3 linked regions of the Struthio camelus genome follow. The protein of the gene in region 2 interacts with the protein of the main gene of each other region in a biochemical or structural test. Links are inferred from orthologs where the notes say so. Each region holds a gene or a part of one and is shown on either strand. Other genes may lie near its edges.

What was found.
Region 1: the proteins of BCAR1 (region 2) and PTPN12 form a complex in vitro, tested with the Homo sapiens proteins (3 studies listed by BioGRID and IntAct, with this or other methods). The link is inferred for Struthio camelus from reciprocal best matches to the Homo sapiens genes BCAR1 and PTPN12.
Region 3: the proteins of BCAR1 (region 2) and PTPN1 form a complex in vitro, tested with the Homo sapiens proteins (3 studies listed by BioGRID and IntAct, with this or other methods). The link is inferred for Struthio camelus from reciprocal best matches to the Homo sapiens genes BCAR1 and PTPN1.

The regions. Positions count from the first base shown.
Region 1 is NC_090942.1:13,931,914-13,939,117, forward strand, and holds the start of PTPN12 (tyrosine-protein phosphatase non-receptor type 12), read right to left. Parts: upstream 3,051-7,204; 5' UTR 2,939-3,050; coding exon 2,840-2,938; intron 1,588-2,839; exon of another isoform or gene 1,286-1,587; intron 1-1,285. UniProt on the Homo sapiens protein: Dephosphorylates a range of proteins, and thereby regulates cellular signaling cascades. Dephosphorylates cellular tyrosine kinases, such as ERBB2 and PTK2B/PYK2, and thereby regulates signaling via ERBB2 and PTK2B/PYK2.
Region 2 is NC_090951.1:22,278,330-22,286,092, forward strand, and holds the start of BCAR1 (breast cancer anti-estrogen resistance protein 1), read left to right. Parts: upstream 1-4,715; 5' UTR 4,716-4,838; coding exon 4,839-4,850; intron 4,851-7,763. UniProt on the Homo sapiens protein: Docking protein which plays a central coordinating role for tyrosine kinase-based signaling related to cell adhesion. Implicated in induction of cell migration and cell branching. Involved in the BCAR3-mediated inhibition of TGFB signaling.
Region 3 is NC_090959.1:10,207,735-10,215,796, forward strand, and holds the start of PTPN1 (tyrosine-protein phosphatase non-receptor type 1), read left to right. Parts: upstream 1-4,997; 5' UTR 4,998-5,035; coding exon 5,036-5,203; intron 5,204-8,062. UniProt on the Homo sapiens protein: Tyrosine-protein phosphatase which acts as a regulator of endoplasmic reticulum unfolded protein response. Mediates dephosphorylation of EIF2AK3/PERK; inactivating the protein kinase activity of EIF2AK3/PERK.

The sequences.
Region 1 (7,204 bases), on a different chromosome or scaffold from region 2:
GGAAAGAAGATAATCAAGTTTCCACTTTCCAAGTGGAACATGTTTTTAGGTACATCAATGGCATTATTAAATAGCGGTCAAACTTATCTATGCCATGGGCTTTTAGTAACATTCAGTCAGACTAATCAGAAGACTTCAGTCAACTGCAGTCTATAACTGCATGATTCCAGCTTCTTTACCACCTCTTCCAGAAGTCCCTGATACCTATGAAGTACTCAGTTCACTCACTCAGATTTAAAAATAATTCTGTAAGCCAATTACTGAAGCAATAAAGATGTGAAAATAAAAAATTGTTTTCAGTTGCATTCACTCACTATTCCATGTCTATTTTTAGACTCCATCTCGACTTGGAAATGAAGCGATGAGTAACAGCAATTCCTTTTCCACTAACTTGCCATTGCTTAGCAGCAACAGTACATCCTGCACTTAAATGAGAAATACTGCCTCCCTCTTCCCTTCCTCCCAGAAAAATCGCTATTAACTATTAAAGAAAACCACATGGAAGGTTTTTACCCTCTTCATTTCTCTTTTCTTTCCTCACTTCAATCGTTTTAAATAGCATCTAAGCATGGCTTTGTGAAAGAAGCATGGCAAAAATACATTTGTTCTTAGTGAAAAAATTTCAGCAATTACAATTCTTGTGATCACCCTAATCTGGCCATCCTGCTTTATTTATATGCAGATGAATATTGAAAGTAATGAGAATATCATGTCAAAGACCAGCACTCTAGTTTCCCCGCTTCCCTTTAAGTTATTCCCTTTAATTTATTATGCAGAAATAAAGCATAATGAGTTTGAAATAGAAAGTGTTAAAAGGACAAAAAAAATGCAATCACTTTCAAAGGATTTACTGTTGTTTCAGGTAATACATATTTCTCCTGAGATGCCTTGCCGATTAGTTTCTACAACCACATTTTCCACTTTTTTTTAAAAGCACTTTCTTTCCTTGATGCTCTACGAAAGCAACGGCAAAGCTTACTGACCAAACAGTTGAAAGCTGTATAAACATGCTGTCAAATACAGAAATGCAAAAATACAAAAAAAAGTTTCCATACAGAAGTGTCATGACTTATAAGAAAGGCTAAAAAATCACATGTATGCAATTTGACTATAACAGAGGTAAAGCATTAGGCTATTGATCAGATATGAAACAGCAAAAGTTGATTACAAAATCTAGTATTTAAAGTATTTAACAGAAAGGCTATTTTAAAAATCCCACATTTTCCACCAGTCCAGGATACCCTTTCTATAAAATGTTTAGCTTAAGAGAACAAGGCAGACTCACCAGTACAATGGATCGATCTATATTTAACAGCAGTCATATTTCTAAGACAATCGTTTAACGAAAAGGTCCTGTCAGCATATTTAACTCTTGAATGACCACGTGAGGACGTTGCATTACGTGAAACGACCTTAGAATTACACTGTTACTCGAATGGGGCTCTTAACTTCCCATCGCCTCTCTCTTCCTTTCCCACATGCTTGAATATTCCGGTGTTGGCAGATCGCTGCCGAGGCGGGCGCGGGTTTCCCACGGGCCCCGCCGCTCCCCGCCCCGGCCGGCCTCGCCGCTTCCCAAGTCCACTTCCTCCCCCGCCGCCGACCTGCCAGCGCTCCCAGCGCCCCGCAGCCTTGCGCAACATCCGCAGCCTCCTCCCCGCAGCTCAGACAATCCCTGATGCGGCACTTCACATCCAGATTTTTTTTTTTTTTTGTTCCCAGACCATTATCAAAGGCTGAGAGCTCAAAAGGCTAACGGCGTGCTTTTATCCCAAACATCGCCAGATAACCACGAGAGCTACCAAGATACGCAGAGCCTGCCATCCTTTAGCTCTTCTGCGGGTCAAATTGTATTTTCATATCAAGTGTTTAAACAATACTGAAAAGTGTCAGCGGCATCTGCCCAATCAGAGTTATTGTCCCCGGCTTATATCTTCTATTCAAAAGATAAACCACCTCAGACATTTTAGCAGCCCGACTAAGCAGCTAAAATAAAACCAGGAAAAAGACCTAATTCTCCATTTAAATTCCTCCCCCTCCCCGCCCAAGCGCACACGTTAACCAAAGGCCGACGGTGAACTGCTCTGGAGGGAAGAAAGGACGAGGGATACAGCCGGGGCTGCGATGGGGGGATGGGGACCAACGGGAAGATGCGTATTCCTCCGAGGAATATTTAATACACTTAACATCTCTCCGCGGAAAGGATAAGAGCGTCAAGCAGGCAGCTGCAGAGACGAATAAAGGGGGGAAAGAAACGCCCGCTTAGCCCCAGCTGACACGGTACCAGGCAAGCCGCGAGGGCAGGGGCTGCCAGGCAGGGCAGGAGCTCACAGCCCGCCCCGTCCCCTTTATCTCCGCAGGAAGGGAAGCGGGGGGGGGGGGAGGAGAGGAGCCGCCGGTTAGTTTGGCAACGGCCGGTTACCGCGATGAGGGCGAAAGCTCTCCGAGGAGCCCCCCGCCGGGGAGCGGGGCTGGCGCAGGGGGCTGCGGCGGCGCGGCGCCCCGCGGCGAAGGCGGCGGCCGCCCCCCTTCCCCCCCCCCCGCCGGGGGGGCTCACGGAGAGCCGGCGGCAGCCGTCCGCGCCCCGCGGCGACACAATAGTGGGTCACGGGCAGGGAGGGAAGCGATGCTTCTCCCTCCGCTTCCTCCCCCCTCCCACCCTGACGAGCAGCGGGATCGGGCAGGCGAGGCCGAGGGCAGCGGCAGGAACCGGGCAGCGGCAGCCCAGGGGGGTCGGCACCTCGCCCTCCCACCCCCCGGCCCGGCCGGCGGGACCCTCCCCAGCCCTGAGGGGAGGCGAGAGCCCGGCCCGCGCCCCGCCGCCGCCGCCGCCCCTCACCATGAAGTCGCTGGCGAAGTTGTCCTCCCCATTGTGGTCCGTGTCCTTCATGGCCTGGACGCGCCGGATGAATTTCCTCAGGATCTCCTCCTGGCTCATCCTGCCGCCCGGCCGAGCGGCAGCTCCCGCCCCGCCCGCTCCGCTCCGCGCCTCAAGCCGCCGCCGCGCGAGCCCGTCACCGACGCCGCCGCCGCCCCGGCCTGCCTGCCCCGCGGCCGCGCGCACGGCTCCCCACCCCGCTCACGGCCGCGCGGCCGCCTGCTCCATTCTCTCCTCCTCCTCTTCTTCTCCCCTCCCTCCCTCCCTCCGCCCGGCCCGGCCCGGCCCGGCCCGCCCCGGGAGCCGCCACCGACACAACCACACGACGAAATCCCCACCTCCTCTTCTCCCTCCCCCCGCGCAGGCGCGCCACCAGCCCCGCTGGCGTTTCCTACTCCCGCCCAGCCGGAGAGGGAGGGGGTCGGCCCGCCCCTGCTCCCCGCCCATTGGCCCCTCACGCCTCAGCCCCCGTCTCATTGGTGGCGGCGCACGCTAATCACCGCCTCAGCCCAGCCCCGAGGGGGAGCACCACTGGGAAAGCGGGGGAGGGGAGGCCTGAGCGCGGCTTCTCTTGGCCCGAGTACAATAGCGGGGCTGCCGGGCGCCTACAGCTCCCAGGCTGTGGGGCTGCGGCCGGCGCCGCGCGCGGCATGCCGGGACCTGTAGTCGCGCCGGGGCGGCGGCGCCCGCCGGGGCAGCCCAGCGGCGGAGGCGGGGCTGCGGCGCGGGTTTGTCCGTGTTACCGTCTCGCTGAGGGTCCCCGCTGAAAAGCCCGGCGGGAAGTGGCCCCTCCGCGGGTGGGGGGAGGCAAGGCTCAAGCCGCGGAAGGAGGCCGAGGCGGGGTGCAGGGCTGCTGCCGCCGCCCGCCCCGGAGGCCGAGCGGGCCGCGCCGCTGTGGTAAACCGGGGCGGCGGGAAGATGGCGGGGGCAGCGGGCCGCGGCCCCGCGCCGGCGGCTGTTTTCCCCCTTTTCTGTGTTTGCGCTCATCCGACGAGAGGCGGCTGGCGGCAGCGCTGCCCCGTGGGTGTTTCTAAGGCGCTGGGGGTCCGGACCGTTCCTTCTTCAGTGGGGACCTTTGTCGTCGCATTCAGAGTATTGCGGGGAGTCTAGATCTGGTTTAAAAAGCTCTGACAGGAGGAGGGGTTTTTTTTTTCTTTCCTCCAAAAAATGCTATGTTGTTGCGAGGGAAATGTCTTCAGGGGCGTCGATCCTTTTTACTTGAAAATATGTTTTGCTTTCTTAAAGTTGGTAATGTCAAGACGTTTAGAGCCAGTAAGATGAAGGAGTGTTATTTTGGCCCTTCTTTTACATTAAGAAGTTAATTTATTGTGATGTGTTATTATGATTAATAACATCATGTCTACAATGTTAGTTCTGCTTTTATATCGGGCTTAATAAACTCAGAAGGGAAAAATGTAAATGTCAGAGTGAAGCAGTCCAATCTTAGCTAAAAATACCTAATGCTTTTCAACAAAGGTTTCAAAGTTAAGGTGTTCAAAAAAAGCAGGAATTTTCACCCACTGTACGTGCAAATCCACCTGTATTCTTTTTTTGATAAGATAAAATGATTAAACTCATTAAGATATTGTCCACAGGTTTAGTTCCCTGATTACATTTATAGCTTCTGCTTCAGGAAAACAAAATAATTCTATGTGTGTATATATAGCCTTATAGCATAATAAATATACTTAGTAATGTTTTTAAGCATCATTTTATTGGTAAAGAGCTGCACAGTCTTTATTGATGTAGTTAGTACAATAAAATTTTGTAACACAGGCTAATAAAGAAGCTCTATGTGAGCAGCATAACCCCATAAAGGCATTTCTACCAAATCACTCATTCTCTACTACTAATTCTCACCCACAGTAGGATGTTGCCCTCACAGCTGAGCAAGCAAAACAGTTTGTGGGACCATACACCGAGCCAGGTCAAGGAGCTGATTCAGCTGAAATACAACCCAATAGAAAAGGTATGGGTTTTTTTTCCTCCTCTGAGATGATACCGTTAAGCTGGCTTTGCTACTGAAACAAACCTACATAAAACTTGGCCTTCCTATTGAGATCTAAGATATTGCCATCTTTGATGACTGCTAAGGATTACCACCTTGATAACAGAGTCAGCAAAATGGCGTGTTTTCCACCCTCAGCCCAAATCACTGTCCATCAACTTAACGTATATTCCTAGCGAAGGGAAGTTTTGAGCCAAGGCAAAGGACTATGAACTATGCAGCTGCTGGTGCATGGACACACATTTCTTTCTGCTGCAGAAGCAATCATCTGTGGCAGAGGGCCAGGCTGGAAAATTGGGAGGGTTTGTGTTCTTGCATGATTTACTAGAGACTTCAGCCTCTTGCAAAGGGCTTTTTTTTAGCAGTTAGTGGTCTTGGAGGCTAATGCATGAGGGACAGAAGGACACATCAAGGAACTGGGAAAGGGAGTCAGTGTTGTGCTGAGGTACTGAGTCTTGAGGAGCTCCCTTGTGCATTGAAGCCTCAACGCCACTGCACAAAAGTAGCGTGAATATCCAACACAATCACGTCAGCTGGGAGAGCCTGGTTGCCCTTTCATGTCCTTTCCTTCAGTCTCTGTGAGATAATCAGCCCTGAAGAGCCACAAAGATGCCTGCTTTTCTTTAATCTCTCTTTTCCTTCTCCTCTTCTTCTCCTCTTTTTCTCCTACCTTAAAGCAGCATTAAGGGGAAACAGGAAAAAAAAAGAAAAAAAAAAAAAAGGACATAGCCATAGATAGAAAGGGCACAATAGTGATCACCCGGAAGGATAGATATGACTTGGAAAGACCAGTAAGGATACAACAAAAACAGCAATATGTAAGTAATAATAGGGACAATAATGTGATGATTCTTCATATGATCTTTTCATACCACTTTAATTTCTTTTTGCTTCAGGAAAGTTGCTTAATTTGCTCGGTAGTTGCCTGGCAAACCTGTTCAACGGGCCAGAAGGCATGAAACTGTAAAAAAATGATCGTTGGGACTAAGCATGGATGAAAAGTCTTGAATGTGGTATGGTCTTCCTCACTCCACTCACTCATTCACATGATAAGAGTTACAGAGGACTTGAGGGTGACAGAGCATTGGAACAGGTTGCCCAGAGAGGTAGTGGAGTCTCCTTCCCTGGAGATATTCAAAACCCATCTGGATGTGATCCTGGGCAATATGCTCTAGAGGTCCCTGCTTGAGCACGGAGGTTGGACTAGATGATCTCCAGAGGTCCCTTCCAACCTAAACCGTTCTGTGATCAGCAGAGGAGGAAAGGTCATAGTTTCTTGCATTGGTTCTTATGTCGTCGTTGCCTTACATCAAAAATACACACGATATTGATCTGGACTGGTTCATAATCTGTTGTTGCGAGTTTAAAACAGTTTATTACAGTGCAAATGTAACAATGACCTTTCATTTGAGTTACCTAATAAGAAGAATATACAATCTCAAAAAAAATAAAAAAAAAAAAAAAAGCCCCCCAAACCAGGCCTGTGTCACCAGCCAAAACAAAGGCATATACAAAACAAAGAAATTTGAAATACCTGGGTGGAGAACTTTACTTAGCATTGTTTGCATAGGCATGTGTACGTGTTAGAGTTGCCAGATATTCCTGAGCACAAACCCAACAGCACTAGTTTTACCCGGTTGCGCTGGGCTGTCTCATCTCTCTGGCGTGAACACAGAAACCTAAACTTTCAGCAGCAGAAACAGTGCTTGAACCCAGACTTTTGATCTGAAACTCAAACTGTCTGAGCTAAACCCAGACGTCTGACCAATCTAGCATGTGTGCATGAGTCTATATATGTGTAAAAGTAGGAGAGAGGCGGAAAAAGAGAGCAAGACACAGGGTGAATTACTCACCCTGCAGATAGAACAGGAAGCTGCAACCAAAATCTGTAGAAGTACATGGTGGTTGTATCTTAACAATCCATACAAGTATGGTCCTTGGAGAGACTCAGGTAGCTCACCTGCAGCTTTTTTGCTATTAATCTCATTTTGCCTTCCCCCACACAACTCCAGCTGCTTGCAAGGACAGAGGGCAGCCATTTTTTTGTTCAGAGATAGCTTCTTCTGTCCCTACAAGGTAAGCATGTGTCATTAACTAGTAAATGTGTTTCGTGGCACAGACAGCATTCTTGTGCCCAGCCAATGGATGGGTGTAGGAAGAAGTAGCAGGATCCCAAACTTCCCAGCTTGCCAAGCTTCAGAGTTTGCCTGAAGACTGTGGTGGGGCATAGTCTCACCGCAGAACTGTCTGCAATATCAGTTTGGGCTCTGGTATGGGCTTGGACTCATGCTCAAAAAATAGCACAGATCCTACCAAAA
Region 2 (7,763 bases):
CGGTGGATTATGGCCGCGAAACGTTAATCCGGGGCGATTAGCAGGACAGAGGGGACTTTGTGCGGCCCCCCGGCCAGGGAAGGCGCTGGCTGGGCCGAGCGCCTTCGCCGTAACTCGCCGCCGCCGGCTGCGTCCTCGCCGCGGGGACGCTCCGGCTGCGCGAACGCGGCTCCGAGCGTATCTCGGAGTCGCAAGGCCCTAATGCTGCATTTTTTGTTTTCTTTTTGGCATTCGATTTTCTTGGAGGTGGGAAAAGCAGAAGGGAAACCTGTCCTTGCCTGTGCCCCCGGCGGGTGCTTCACAGCAGCGCTGCCACGACGGAAACCGGGGCGTTGCAGGGAGCCTTTGCCAGCGCCGGGTGCTCGGCAGCTCCCGGCAGCGATCTTGGCTCCAAAGCAGCAAAAGCGGCATCAAATATAGCCACAGGGCGCTTTGATCTGAGGGGAGCGTAAAATATTCCTGGTGCTTTTAAGCACCAAAGCTCCTGGGCTCGGGCGCTCGGCCACGAGCCAAACCCGGAGCCGCTACCTGCTCTGGGCAGAGGCTCCTGCAGATCCAGGAGCCGCCGGATGCCCACGAGCTGCGTGCACGGCGCGGCCCGGGGGCCGGTCTGCATCGTTTGCGATCTGCTGGGGACCGGGGCGGGTGTATCAAGGACGGGAAAGGGTTGGTGGGGGAGGACGGAGGAGTTAATCGCTGGCAGCGGCCGCTGCAGGCCTTTGATCAGGCTGCCGGCTGCTCCGAGCCGCTCCCCGCGCCGCCGTGCCCGGCCGGCTCCCGACTGAAGCTGTTCCAGCGCGAGGGAGGCCGGAGCCAGGCCCGACCCTCCGGCTGCCCGCGGGCCCCCGCGCCGGCCGAACCGAACTCGCTCCTCCCCAGAGCCAGCCGCGTCCCCCCCCCCCGCCCCCCGCCACGGGCTGGCCCGGGAACTGCTGCTCGCAGATTTATTTAATCAATACGTGACGCCTATTGCAAGCGGCACATCAGCCCGCGCGGGAGGCACCCGCCGCCGCCGCCCGGTTCGGCTTTGTTTGGTGTTTGGAGCCTTGTGGCACCCGATCGCGCCTCGGAGCGAGACTTCAGACGAGCATGAATGAACCACGCTGCTGCTGCTAGCCCTGGCCCCGGCCAGCGGGGAGCTCTCGGCCGGTCGGCGCTGGCCCCCAGGCTGGGGGGGGGGGGGGTTGCAGGATTTGGCCCACTGGCAGCACCCCCCCCCCAGCTCCCCCTCTCCCAAGGCAGTGATTTCCCGGAGAAGCCCCATGGGCTGGCCAGATCCTGCTCCATTAGAGGGTGGCGCTGGGGCAGGTATCCCCAGGCCGTAGCAGCAGGAGCTTTTACGCCGGAGCACCCGGACAGCGTTTCTCCGGGGCTGCCGGGACCTGGGCAAGCGCACAGCTGGGCACAGCTGGACACGGGGCAGATGTGGAGCAGAGAGGCGGCTGGGGCGGCAGGGAGCAGACGCGTGCGCGCGTGTGCGTGTGTGTCCAGGTGTACGCGCACGTCCTTGCGCGTTTATGTGGCTCTGTGTGTGTGTGTGCACACGCGTGTTCGCGTGCACGGCTGTGCGCGTGCCCCGAGCGCCGGTGCATGCAGCAGGCTGTCCCTCCGCCCGGCCACGCGCAAGCAGAGCCAGGAGCAGGAGCTCCGCGGGGCAAGGCGGAGGGGCACGAGGAGCCGGGGATGTGCGAGCCCCGGCGAGAGCAGCCCGGGAGAGGCGTTCGCGGCCTCCCCGCCTGCGCTCAGAGTTTCCAGGGAAAACCCGCCAAGGCCTCGTCCGCTCTGCCGCGGCGGCAGAAGAGCTGGTGGCGAGCTTTCAACTGCGAGCGCCGCGCTGCAGCGCCCGCCAGCTCTGGACGCGCAGACGGAAAAACGGGAGGGGAGGGGGAAAAAAGGGAAAGGAGGAGGAGAAGAGGCCGAGGGCTGCTCCTCGGGAGCGCAGCCGGGGGCTGCACCGCCCGCCGGGGCGCCCCTCGCCGGAGAAAAGGCCTGCTTGAGATGCGCCTGAAGACCCGCAGCTATTTATAGCTTGAGCGACCCTCCTGCCCGGCCCCTCGCTGCCTCTTTTCTCTCTCTTTCCTGCAGGGAGGGCTGGGACCCCGAGGATCCCAAAACGGGGGTGTCCTGGCGGAGACCGGAGCCTGCCTTCGGGGCTGCGCTGGGGCAGGGGCCAGCGGTACGGCCTTGCCCCGTGCGCCGCGTCGGCCTCGCCTGGCCCCGGGTGGCCGCCCGCCGCGGGGCCGGGAGCTGCCGCGAGCCGGAGCCGCGGGACCCGGCACTCGCCGGGGCGCCCTCCAAACCGCCAGCGCCTCCTGTCACGGGGAAGAGGAAACCATTTGCCCGCTGGGGTGGCTGCGGTTTCCGGCGCGACCGCAGCCCCCTGCTCTCGGCGGATGCTGCTCGGACCCGGCGGCTGCTGCCACGCTTCGCTCTGCGCCTCCCGTGCCTCAGTTTCCCCAGGCAGCAGCAAGGGGCAGGGGGGCGACTCGAAGCACAGGGAGCGCCGCCACAGCGAAGCGCCCGTCGCCAAGGGGAGGGTGTCGGGGCGCCGCCGCTGCCCGGCGCTGCTGGCGAGGCCAGGCCACGCGGCGCGAGCCGAGCGAGCCCGGCTCTTGGCAGCGGGGAGGGGGGCGAAGGGAAGGGGGAGGGCGGCGTTTGCAACGCGGCCTCGACGCCGCTGCTCCCCGACAAGGAGCAAAGGTAACCCCGGAGGGTGAGATTTCCAGCGAGGAAATACCATCGCTGGGGAACGCGTGGCCGGGAGGCATGTTCGCGGGAAGAGGTGCATTCCTGGCATGCCGCGGCGAGAGCGCCTGCTCGCTCGCCGCCGGGCCGCTCACGCACGCCGGCCCGCCTGCTCCGCTCGGGCGCAACGCCGCTCGGGGCCGCCGGCCGGGCTGGGCTGGAGGCAGGCAGGGCTGCCGCCTCGGCTCCGCCGAGCCCGGACCGGCCGGCCGTCGGGGCGCCCTGGCGGGGGCTCAGTCCTTCCCGTCGGGCTGCGAACGTGCCGGAAAGGCGCCCCCGGGGCTGAGCGCACCCCTCTGCCCGCGCAGCCTTGCCAAGGCGTCCGGGCTTGCTGCTGGGGACGGGGGCGACGAGGGGCGGCTGCGATGCCGCACCGGCCGGCCGGCCGGCCCCGCACGACGCCCCCCTCGACGCTGCCGGGGCGCCTCGGCGGGAACGCCAGCGCGGCGGCCCTGGGGGTGCCAGAGGGGACCCGGCGTCGCCTGCCCGAGGGAGCCAGGCAGGATTCGGGCCGAATTGCCCTAAACAAGCCAAGGTAAACAAACACACCTAGCGCTATGATGACTTTATCGAGCGTATCGCAGGCCGCGCAAGCTAAGCAACGCCCGTCGCTGGCCGCTGGAGCTCCAGCTGCCCTCCTGCCCTTTACCCGGAGAAAGTCCCAAACGGTTTCTTCCTCCCGACGCTTCCCATCGCCGGCGTTTCCCGGTCTGGTCGCCTCCCCGCCCGGCGCTGCCCGCGGGGGTAACTGCTCCCGAGGCCGCTCCCGCAGGGCGCTCGCTCCTGCCCTTGCTGTTCAGCAGCACGAGGCCACCGAAGGCACGGGGCCGGGAGCCTCGGCGCTCCGCTCCTGCCCGGGACTCGCGGGGCGCAGGCAGAGCACGGCGCGGCTCGGGGCACCCCAGACCGCCAACCGAGAGCCGCCAACCCCGAGCCGCCGTCGCGGGGCGGCAGCGGGCCAGGGCCCTTCCCGGCCGGCGCGTCACCCCCCCCGCGGGACGCCGCGGCGTTTTGGGACGCCGCAGGGCTCCGGCCGCCACCCCCCGCTACCTGCCCGGCGTACGCAAAGCCGTAGCGCTCCCGTTAGGCACACACGCCCCTCGCACGCCCCTCGCACGCCCCCGGCGCGCACCGCCCCTTACCCCGCTCGGTACCTGCCGTGCCCATCGCCCGCCGCCCGCTACAGCCGCGGTACACCTTCTTCACATGCGTTGTGCTTCACACCCCACCCCAACACGCGCTCCCTGTTGTGCGCACACACGTTACACGCACCCTGCCCATTACACACCCATTGCACACACAGCCCCGTTACACACCCGTTACACACCCCTGCCCCTTGCACACGGGTTACGCACACCCTTCCTGTCACATGCCCATGACATGCCTGCTACACACACACACACACACACGCCGCCTGTTAGACCCCCGTCACCTACACCCACACACCTTCCTGGCACGTGCCTGTAACGCGCACGCACTGCTGCCAATTACACGTCGTACACGCGCACGCACTGCCTGTCACACCCCCGTTACACGCCCCGTTGCACACACACTCCTGCCCCTCACACCGGGGTCACCCCCCCGCCTGTTACACACCCCTCGCACACACGCACACCTGTCACGGAGCCGTTACACCCCCGTGGCGCACCCCCCCGGCCTCCACAGCCCCGTGGCGCACACACGCGTGCCCGTGGCGGGCCCGGGGCAGCCCCCGCTGCACCGCCGCTCCCTCCCCCGGCCCGGCCCGGCCCGGCCCCGGCGGCGGCGGGCGCAGCAGCGCCGCCTCCCGCTCCGCGGCGGCGCCGGCAGCCAATGGGCGGGCGGCGGGGGCTGCCGGGACCGGGCTGGGCACCGCGCTATAATGTTACCTACGGCGCGGCCGCCGCCAGAGCGCCGCTCGCCCGCCCGCGCCAGGCCGCGCCGCCCGCCGCCGCCCCGGCCCCGGCCCGCGGGGGCTCCGCGCTAGGGCAGCCGCGCCGGCACCGCCACCGGCACCGGCACCGCCACCGGGACCGGGGCCGGCGGGGAGCCCGAGCGCAACTTTTCCTCCCTGCCGCCCGGCCGGGGCCTTCCCGCATCGCCGCGGCAGGAAAATGAACTACTTGGTGAGCGCGGGCGGCGGGGCGGCGGCGGCGGCGGCGGCGGCGGGGGACAAAGGGGCGGCGGCGGCGGGGAGCGCGGCCGGGCCCGGCGGGGTGACCTTGGCGGCCGCCGCGGCGGGGAGGCCCCGCGCCGCCCTCGGACGTGGCAGGCGGGGGGGGGGTCCGGCCGGTGCCCCCGCGGCGGCGCGTTCCCGCTGCCCCCGGCGCCGCGTGGCGCGGGGCGGCCGCGCAGGGCAGCGGGCGGAGGGGCGCGGGAGCGAGGCCGAGGCGGGCGAGGAGGCAGCGCGGCTGTGCGGCGGCACCAGCGTAACGAGCTCGCGCGTTCTCAGCCCCGCTGCCGCCGGGCTGCGTGCGCGGCCCCGGGCCGGCGGGCAGGGTCCACGGGGGGCGCAAGGCCGCGCCCGTCCCCTTGCTCCCCCCCCCCCCGCCCCGGCTCGCCTCCTCGGGAGCCTTCAGGCCGGACGTCGCTTTGGAGAGTCCCTTTCCCCAGCCGCTGACCTCAGGCCCGCCGGGGCCCTGCCCGGTGCCGCCGGGACCCCGGCAGCGGACTTGACCTTGCGGGCTCGGTCCCCGCGGGACGCGAGCTGCTCGCCGGGGTCGGTGCCGGCCCCCGGGGCTCCCTGCCGCACCGCGCTCCTCCTCCGGGCTCGCGCCAGCTGAGCTGACCCGAGATGCTCCCCGCAAGGCCAGCCCTGCGGTTTCCATCCTGCTCGCCCAGAATCAGGCAGGACCGAGGTCCCCAGCCCTCGTCCCCGGCTGCGGGCCGGCCGCAGGTCCCGGTTTTGTGGTGCAGCGGGGAAGGGCCGTATCAGGGCTGTCGCCTCAGCACTGGGGGTCCCTATGAACCGCCGGGTGTTTTTCGGTAATTGATGGCCCTGCCGGACGGGTGGGGGTGAGGTGGGACCCAGCCGGTGGGACAGCATCCTTGGGGGGGGGGGGTCAGTGGAGGCGGTTGCACCAGCCTGGCTCCCTATCCTGCCTCGGGGCCGCGCCACGCAGCCTGGCCCGCGGCGGACGCTCGGCCCCCCGCACCGGCAGCCCTCGGGAGTTCGGCCGGCCTCCGCAGGAAGCCGCTCGCTGAGGGCCGGGAGAGCAGAGGGAGCTCGGCAAGGCCGGTCTTCCTGTGGGCGTGCGAATGCCCTTCCTGTGCGCGTCAGCCCCGCGGCCCCGCCGCTGTTAATGATTCACCGGGAGCTAATCAGCGCAGCGAGGCCAAGGCTGGGGGACAGGACGGGATGGGACGAGGGGACGTGCCGGCCTTGCAGCACCCTTGCCGTGCTGGGCAGTCCCCGAAGCGCGGCGGCCCTGCGGTCAGGGTACCCGCTGCCTCCCCGGCGGTGCCACCGAGCGCCACCGCTGCCTGGTGCGGGCGGACGGGTGGCACGGGCAGCGTCACCCACGGAGGTGGGCCCGCTCCATAGGAGCGCCGTGGGGGGCTTCGGCAGCCCCGGGGGTCCGTGGCTCAGGATGCGCCCCTCCTGCCTGCTCGGCGGGGGGGAAGGCGCCCGCGCTCCCCTCTCCAGGCAGGAGTTTCCCCTGGCAGCCGGGATGGGCCCAGGCAGGGCACAGTCCGCAGCGGGCGGTTAAGCCAGGCGTCATGCGGGCAGGTTGCAGGCAGGAGGTGGAAGAGCCCGGAGCAGAGTCCTCTTCCCACCCCTTTGCCTTGGCGAGAGAGAAGCGCAGCGCCCAGGACACGCGTCTCTCCTGGAAAGCAGCGCCCAGCGTGCCAAAGGCACCCGCCGTTTTCGTGCCCTACTGGCACGGCTTTTCCCCTCCTCTCTAACGTCGTAGACGTGGGTGCCGGCTGGAGGCTGCCGTCTCCCCGGCTGCTTTCCCGCGTTGTGCCGGCTTAGGGCCCTGGGCTGGGACTTGCGAGCTGCCACCCCCCTCCTCGCGCAAGCTTGGCCCTGTCATTGAGTCTGCCGTGCCCTGGGTTCCCGGTGGCAGCGGAGCGGGGTGGCTCCTGGGGAGCAGCCTGGCTTGCGGCTCGTCGGTCCCAGGGCGCTCGCGCTGACAGCGGTGACGGGCTGGAAAGCGGAGGTGCCTCGGCCGTGCGGTCACCTGGTCTGCTGGGGCCACAGACCTGCCAGTCTGCGGCCAGCGGGTGATGGCAGCGCAGCGTCGGGTGGAGAAGGGGTGCCGGGGGGTCTCGTAGGCCGAAAGCAGCGCTGGGGGCCCTTTTGCTTCTCCGAACAGCTGGCCTTGGACACCTGGGGTGTTTGGGCAGCTGGAACTGGCCCCACGTGGGCAGGCCCCATCAAGACTGTGACTTCTAGCCCTGCCTGTAAGCTGAGCACCCTCTGGGCTGGTCCTGCTGCTCCTTGGGGCTCCCTGCAGGTCCCTTCGGTTGGGGGCCCCCACAGGCGCTGAGCTCTAGGAGGGGAAAGCACCGTGGCAGAGGGAGATGTGCTGGAAGGGTGTCTGCTGTGGGTGCCGCAGGGTGCTGTGCCACGCAGCTGTGGTCTCGGCTGCTGCTAGCCCGCTAGCCAGGCCCCGGCCCAGTGCTGCGCTGTAAACTGTGACCGCACGCCCTGAAAGCCCCTCCGGCCAAGGAGACTGTCTAAGCACTCGCTCCAGCCAGGGACCTGCCTCCGATGGCTCTGTTGGCTCCTGATGGCCATGATCCTGCCCTACGTGTCACAAGCTTGGCGGGCTCAGCCTGCACCTGGCAGGAAGAGCCCTGCGCTGCTGAAAGCTCCCAGCTGGTTGTGCTGGATCTTTCTGGTAGCTGATACCAGTTTTCTACCAACTCTCTGAGCGAAGGGCCAGGAGGCAGAGGGTGAGGTGGACGCACAGCGGGGCTGGAGGGCAGCGCCATGCTCCCTGCTCCGGCAGCTGGTTCAGTGAGCTGGCGCTTTGGTCCTTGTGTCCTGGCAAGGCTGCTCCGTGCTGGCACCCTCTGCCAGGACACAGGGA
Region 3 (8,062 bases), on a different chromosome or scaffold from region 2:
CATCAGTTTGGTCCTGTGATATAAAACTGTCCACATTCTGGTCATGCTCCCTATTAGGCCATGTCTACAACAAAGGCTCTAACAAACCAGACCACTTTCATGTCGCTTTTCTTTCCCAGTCATTCATGAATATGCCGACTCTTTCTGCAGACAGTGTATCTGAAGCTTGTGAACATATGTGCCATTCTTCTACACAGCTGCACTCTCCTCCTTCCACCAAGGACTTTTGTTTTGCGTTGCACTGCATCTTTGCCTAAGATGCTCTACTGCAGCGGAACTTCAGTAATTCTGCAGCATTTAGGGTTCATGGTCATCTCCCATAATCTCAGTCCTTAAGTGCCCCGCTTGCTTTGGAGCAAGGATTTTCAGTATTTGATGAAATTTTCTGCTGCACACTGACAAACTGAAACGTACTTTCTAACACTTGTTATACTCCCACGATCCTGAATTTATCTCCTTTTTAGCACTAAGTCCAGCCTCTAGAGTATCTTCTGTTTTCATTAGGAGACAAGGTCAAGTGAACCACATACTTCACACAGATTAGAACTCACAGAAGACCTTACTCTGCAACAAAGCTATGGCACTGCTTCTGAAGTGTTTCAGAAAGAAGCTGTCCTGGATAAAAAGATGTACATTCTCCCTAACAGATTCAACACTGAGTCAGGATTAGCAAGTCCTTCTCCTCATTAATTTAACACACCTGAGTTCAAATCTGTTAACTTCTCCTTCTCTAATTATGAGTTAAAACAGAAAGAAAAGCCAAGATCAGGAATTATTTTCATGGAGCACTGCAGACCCAGGGTGGATACACACACCCAGGTATCTCACTAGAAATAATACAACCTTATACCCATCAATACCTTTTCTCCTCACATTCTCACCCTTTGATCAGAAGGAAGTGTTAAAAACAGGAAATAATTATTTGAGGCATCTTTGCTTCTAAATGCAAAAGAAATTAGTCACTGCAAGTTAGCTGAGCCTGAATGTTACTTTGTGTACTTAACCACAGTATTTAAAAAATGCAAACTAAAACACATCTTTTACCACAGAAATCATACTATGAGTTAGAAGATATCAATCTTGATCCTTATCTTGCATACAGTAATGAAAATTAAAAATAATTTCATCGTAATAAAACTGATACTGATGTCAGCATAAAATCAGAAGCAAAACAGTCTATTATCACCAAAATACAATCTCCAATTGCACTAGATTTAGCTTCTGAACTTAACAGGTGCTTCAAAGTATCCAAGACATAACACGTGAATCGTAAGTCTTGTGTGATGCTGTAATATAAATGAGGGGAAAATCAAGATAGAACTGAACTTTTCACAGTAACAATCCTGAACATTTCAACTACAACAAAAAAAAGGAAATCAGAACAAGGAACGCCTAAGACGCAACACCAGAAGGACATATTAGAGGATGCTAGTCAAGTCTGAGCTCTGTTTAACACAAGACTGTATTTCTGTTAAATAAAAAAAGAGAGGTTGCTGTAGAGTAATGGAATAAACATGCACATTGCAATAGAATAAAGTGAGCTGAATGTGAATGACAACCTTTCCAGCTGTACACTGGAAACGCAGCCCACTGGAACTGCCTTAATATAAAGTTGCGTTCAAAATCAAACAGTGAAGAAACAATATGCATCCTATTTACAGATACTTTAATGGGGATTTATGACACTGGCTGTTTTAAACTAGGTCATCCCAAAATCTTGAATATTGTTAGCAGAAAGGCAAATAAAGACTATAACATGATTAAATTGGGTAAGTCATTTTAGTGGGTTTCAAATTAAACAAAAATAATAGACTTAGTTTCATTGTTCTGTTAATGTTCCTTTTTCAACTCGAGGCCAGGCTGCTTCACATTATTTTGTGGGTAGCTACACCTCAGTCTGTATTAAGGGATACAGAAAAATTGCTACAAGCCCCTACAACTGTTACAAAGAAATAGGACTAGGTTGAGCACTCTCACCTGCTCAGCAGGAGGAACTGCAGAATTTGCTACCTATAGAATGCACTTGATGTTTCTCTAAGGTGGCCTACATGCCCTTAACATTGCTTTAGCAACACAAGCTGTCAAAGAGATGAACATTTAACATAAACAAGTATCTAACTGTAGCGTCTAATTGTAATTTTTAAGTGTGCCATTTTTTTACCTATGGATGTCATTGCATGTACTATTGCTTTAACTGTATGTAAAAATAAACTAAAAATAATTCAATAGTACATGCACCAATTAGCCATACTGTTCTGAAATATGAGTCGCAATGTATATCATTGCTGTGAATCGTTCCTTACTTCTTTTGCATACATTTATGTACGTAACAGTGGGTGAATATTTATAATGCAGTTTACGTCCCTGAAAATTTCCAATTACTAGAGAAAAGCATTCATTGAACCAGATCAACACATTTTAAAACGTTACTGGTCACACATCGCAGTTGCGATAGACTGAAGGTTTGTGTAGAAATGTAAGATACACTGGTAGTTCTTATAATCTCTTATTTTCTGGATTTCTCTGTGACATCTGTAGCTGAACATCAATTTGTTGAGGACAATAGATGAGTTTTTGTTATCCAAGGCAATTAATTCTGTGACAACAGCATACATTTCGCAAAATATATTGTCCGTGAACCACTGGCTGAAGAATTTGTACTGTTTTTATTTATTATGCCCATTCAGGTGACATAAGCACAAGAGACTGTATGCTATCTGCATTTATAAAATGTTTATGCACTGCAGTAATTCAACTGCATGTAGCTACAGTTTTACAAGCTTTGACCTGTTCTAGGTAGGATCAGGTTTATGCCTGCATAAGAAGTAGCCATCCATAGGTTGCAGGAATGCTCTCTGGTAACATTACAGGGACTCATCTCTCAGAATGGATCATGGAAACACAGCAAGACTCCCCACATATGTTCGTTAATTCTTGACCCTGAAATAACAGGGAAAAGGGAAAGCAGCAGAGTTGCTAAATTTGTCTTTATGTCTCCAGGTCCAATAGGTCAAAAATTCACCACTTCCTCCACATAGACTCAGGATAAGGATGCAGCCTCACAGCACCCAGAAAAAGGGAGAGGTGAGATGCACTCACCCATCCTTTTGCTTGTACTAACACTGAAAGGTTTCTGAATGGACGGGAACCCTTTTGTTCATGGAACTAATACCATAATTGCCTAATTCCAAAAAACCACATAGAGAGAATGCCCATTTCATAAGAAACGCAAAAAATCTTTCTAATACCATCTGCTAACGCCACTATACTACACGCAGCAGCTGACCAGAGAATAATGTTTCACTGCTTATCTCGGTTAAGTCTTTTTATCCTGTTAAGACACTTTCCACAGCTTGCCTTTTCCTGTGGGCAATTAACCCTCTCCCATATTTCAGGCCCCTCATCTCACATCTCTGACTAGCGCTCTCTTCTCAAGAGAGCATCTAAGCAGCCTAATACAATGAGTCTCTAATGGGATGGCATTCTGGGGCTGAACACTTCCAAAGACCGCATGGTACAAAGATTAGGAGGAGCTTTCGCTAGCAGCAATGGCTAAGTGGAGCAAGGGCTGCTGCTAAGCGATGAAATACTTGTCTTCAGTGACATTGACATATCTTCCATTCCTCAGTCACTGCTCTCTCCAGTTCATACCGTGCCTTGGGCGTTTATGGCTGAATTCACTCAAAAAAATGACAGATCTTAGAAATCCACTCTCACTGCCTCATTTCAGATCAGTGCGCATGCTACAGAGATACCAGGTATGCAAAACCAGCACCAGGCCTCAGAAATGGCATGTTCCAAAAAACTTGTGAATGACTAATCCAACAAAGAGACACTGGCCGACATAGGAGAAATTCCTGGCTTTGGAAACAAAAGTGTGCTCTAGCATTATACATGGGAGAATTGTGCCCATATGTTTGGAACATCTTGCCTTGAAACTCAGGAAGAAAGAGATTCTCTCTCTAATATTAGGTATCTAGGCCTCAACTTCATCTGAAGTTGCTTTATTAAACGGGTGCAATAGCATGGTGAATGTTTACCTACTGGGATAGCACTATAGCTCCTTGCACAGTAATAGGCATTTCACAGACGCAGAAATCAAAGAATTGAGGACAGATGCTCAAACTCCACGCTGAGTTTCTGGCATCACACATTCCTTTAGATGAAAAGGTATGGGACAACTGACAAAAATGTTTCACTCTGCAGATTGCATAACAGTGAATAACAAATTCTCCATCTTCTGACTGCAGTGAGGAAGAATACAGTCGTCTTCTCCCATCTTTGAAGTAACATATGCACATACACACACATTTTGTGCGCTGCCAGACCAGATTGGTACAACCAGACACCTGCTGCAAGATTTGGTGTTTTCCCTACAGTTCCTTCCTCTGGAACCAGAGGACTGCATGAGAAATTGTTTCGAATTTCTTGCTCCTCTTGCCCCAGATGAAGAGCTTGAACACATGACTCAGAGCACTTCCTCGCGGCTCAGAAACGAGAAGGCGCCAGCCTGGCATCAGAAGAGCTAAAACGAGCGGCTCCGCTCTTCCCCAACTAATCCAGCCATCTGTTAAAAGCTGGGGCTCCCCATCCCAATCCCCCTGCGGCCCTGCACCCTGCCGGGAGCGCCCTACCTGTCGGCGCGGCCCGGGGCCAGGCCGGCGCGGGGGCCGCGGGGAGGCGGCAGCCCGCCAGCTCGGCCCCGTTCGCCCGCCTCCAGCAGCGGCTCCCGGAGCCGGACCGTCGCCTCGGGGCGGGGGGCAAGGGCAAAGCGGCCCCCCGTGTGCCCCCGGCGGGAGCAAGGCGCTGCTTCGCTTGCCCGCCCGGGGGGTGGGGGGGAGCGAGGCCGCAGCTCCTCTCCCCCCGCCCCCCCCCACCACAGAGCGCTCCCGCGCGCAGCGACCGTTAGCGACCGTTAGCGCCGCGCGCCCCGCGCGCCCCCTCGGCCGCGCCGCTCCGCAGGCCCCGCGGCCGCCCCGGACATCGCGTCGCCGGGGCTGGCTGCGTAGTTCCGGCGGGAGAAGGGAGGGGTGACATGCAGAGCAGGCAGCCGCGGCCTCGGGAGCAGCTGGAGCCCGAGCTGCCGGAGCAGCGGGCGGCGGCGGCGGCGGGGGGCCAGGCCGGGCGCGGCGTCCCCACCATGGAGATCGAGAAGGAGTTCCACCGGCTCGACCAGGCCGCCAGCTGGGCCGCCATCTACCAGGTGAGGGCAGCGGCCGGGCCCGGCTCTGCCCCGGCCGCGGGGCGGGCGAGGGGGGAGCGCCCTTCCCTCACCGCTTATCTGCCGCCGCCTCGTTCCGCCCCCCGCGCCGTCCCTGCCCGGCTGCCCAGGGCCCGGCGTCGGGGCGCGCTGCCCTCCGCCTCCCCCTGCCCTGCGAAGGAGCCCTCGCCCTCCTCCTTCCCCGCCCTGCCGGGCTCGCCGGGCTGCTCGGCTCTGCCCTCCTTCCCCTTCTGGCCGGCCGGGCGCTGCGGGCAGAGGCGGGGTAGCTCAGTCCCGCGGGGTGCCCGGGGGGGGCCTCTCTCCTCCCGGCTCCCCCGGAGCGAAGAAGCCCCTCAGCCGCCTCCTTGCCGAGGCTGGCGCGGGCGGAGGCTGCTGGCCGCCGCCACCCCGCCTCGGCCCTCGCTCCGTCGCGCCGACCCTGCGGGCTGCCGGCCCGAGCCAGGTCCTCAAGCTCCCGGGGCAGGGAGGCTCCAGCTCCTCGCCTCTGCGGAGGGAGCATGCAAAGAGTTTTCTGTGCTTGATCTCTCAAGCACGCTCTTCTTGTTCCAGGTTCCACGGGGGAGGGGGGAGCTAAGCATGGTCAGAATTGCTCAGTAACCCTTTAAAACTGCTCGCTTCCTAACCTTGAGGGAGTAAATCCGAGTATAGCTTGTGTATTGTACTTTTTTTTTTTTAACTGCGATGGGCAGCGTTACATACACCTGGCTTTTCAGTCATTTTTATAATACAGTAGTTCTTTAAAATGGTTTGTTAGTAATATTTATGCAATCATCTAGTTGTATTTTTTTATTAATAGTAATAATGCTTCATTAAATTGTTTACTGTCTTCAGCTGTTTAGCGACAGATGTTTTAAAAAAATTATGTGGCAAATGTGGATGGTTGTGAAAATTTTTGCAAATTGAATACAACTCCAGAAGTACAAGCAGCAGAAATTAAGGCTTTCATCTGTAAAAAGTTCTTTGTGCAACCACTTATCCAAAATGAAGTATAAGATAAGATGAAGAACATGAATGGTTAGGCTGATGTGGTTCGGTGAGATTGGGTAGCACTACTGTAAAATCCGTCTGAGTACTTAGGCTGGTATATTAGATATTCTAATGAGTTTTAAATTCATATGTTGTAACATAGAAGTTGAGCTTTCCCTTTCACTATGAATTTCTCTGGCAACAGGCATTTAAAAAAATAAGTGGAGTTTTATCAAAGTGAAGTAAATGAAGTTCAGTTTCAGAATCATGGCATGCAAGTTCTAAAAGTAGTACCTTGCAGGATGAACATCTCCAGTCTCCGGTTGTTTGGCAATTAAAGATGGAGAATAAGCATGACATTTTGAGTATGCTTTTCAGAAGATCCATTTTTGGGGTATTTCATTTCCTGCAGTGTTCCAGTGCTTGCTAACTCTGTATCAGTTGAAGTCATGTGCGTATATGACGTTATGCTTTTACTAAACTGTTCTTGACGAGTTGGTATGTTGCAGGCTCAGTGCTCAGGAAATGATTTTGAGTAATACAGCTATGTAATGGAGATGGTATATTTCTATGGGCACAATTTCATCACAGAAGTGAAATGTGTAAGGAGGCCTAAGTTTAATAAGAATGAGGGACTGTGGCATATTTTCAGTGTGGGGTTACCATTCAGTGTTATTTTTGTCCCACTGCACTGTGGCACAGAGTGAGGTTTGTTTGAGGGCTAAAATTCAACTCAAAAAAGATGGAAGTCATTGTTTTGATTTGCATCCAACTACTGACAAGCATGAGAGGTGGGTTTGAGTATTTTTTTTTTTTTAAGTTGTTTGGTTAGTAAGTTGTGCATCTGTGTCATGTAATTCAGTGGCTTTCTGCATCCTGCATTTACGTATCAGGTGTTGACATTTGACATACCATGTATATCTCAAGTAACAATGCACTTGGTTTTAACCTGTGTTTTTAATGTCTGCGGTGTAATATTGATGTTTCACTTGTCCTACAAATACCAGTCTTTGCATGAAAAATGATAGAAGTGCAATAATGTGTGTTATTGGTGCAGTCTTGTATTTCTGAAAAAAGCCTTCCCCCAGATTAATCAGGCCACAAGCTTCCAGTATCGAGATGTTACAAAGGTAACTACCAAATGCCTAAAATGTATACCAGTGTTCTGAATGAAGCATAACAGTTTACTAACCGAGTCTCTTCCTCTTATTTCTTGTTCAAATCTATTGTCTAGAGGTACAGAACTGCCCTGTATCTAGGGAAGGAATTATGAATACTACAGGGAGCTGAAGCTAATTTGAAGGATGGCTACAAGGAGGCTTGTCTGGGTGCCACGTGACTTTGAAGGGCTAAAAGTGTCCAAGCTTCATTTTTTTGGATGAGGGGAAGCTATGCTAATCTACGATAATAGTATGGTTGTGAAAAAATACAATTTTAATATATAAATATTTTTAAAGCATAAATAATCACAGGAAGGAGGCAAAAACATCTCAAAAAGAAGAACTTCTCTAAGTATTTGTGTATGTCAGCATGTGACAATCATATCTTGGGTACTGTATGTTTAGTGGAACTGTTCTGGTTCTCAACTACAGCTGGTCAAAAACAGGGTAAACACTGAATTCTCAAATTTTTTTTTTTTTTTTTAAAAACACCCAGTAGCCTCCCTCATTTTCTTGTTTTTTCCCTCATTTCTCCCTCTTGCCACAAGAACCATGAGACCATGTGAAGTTTGTTCAGAGGCCCAGTATACAAAAAGGGCCAGTCAGGCCCTGGCCTGTGCTTGTATGGTAGAGGAATTAATTATAGAAGATAATGAATAAAATGAGACTTATTCTAAGTATGAAAGATTGTGAAAATAGCTACCCAATCAAATTA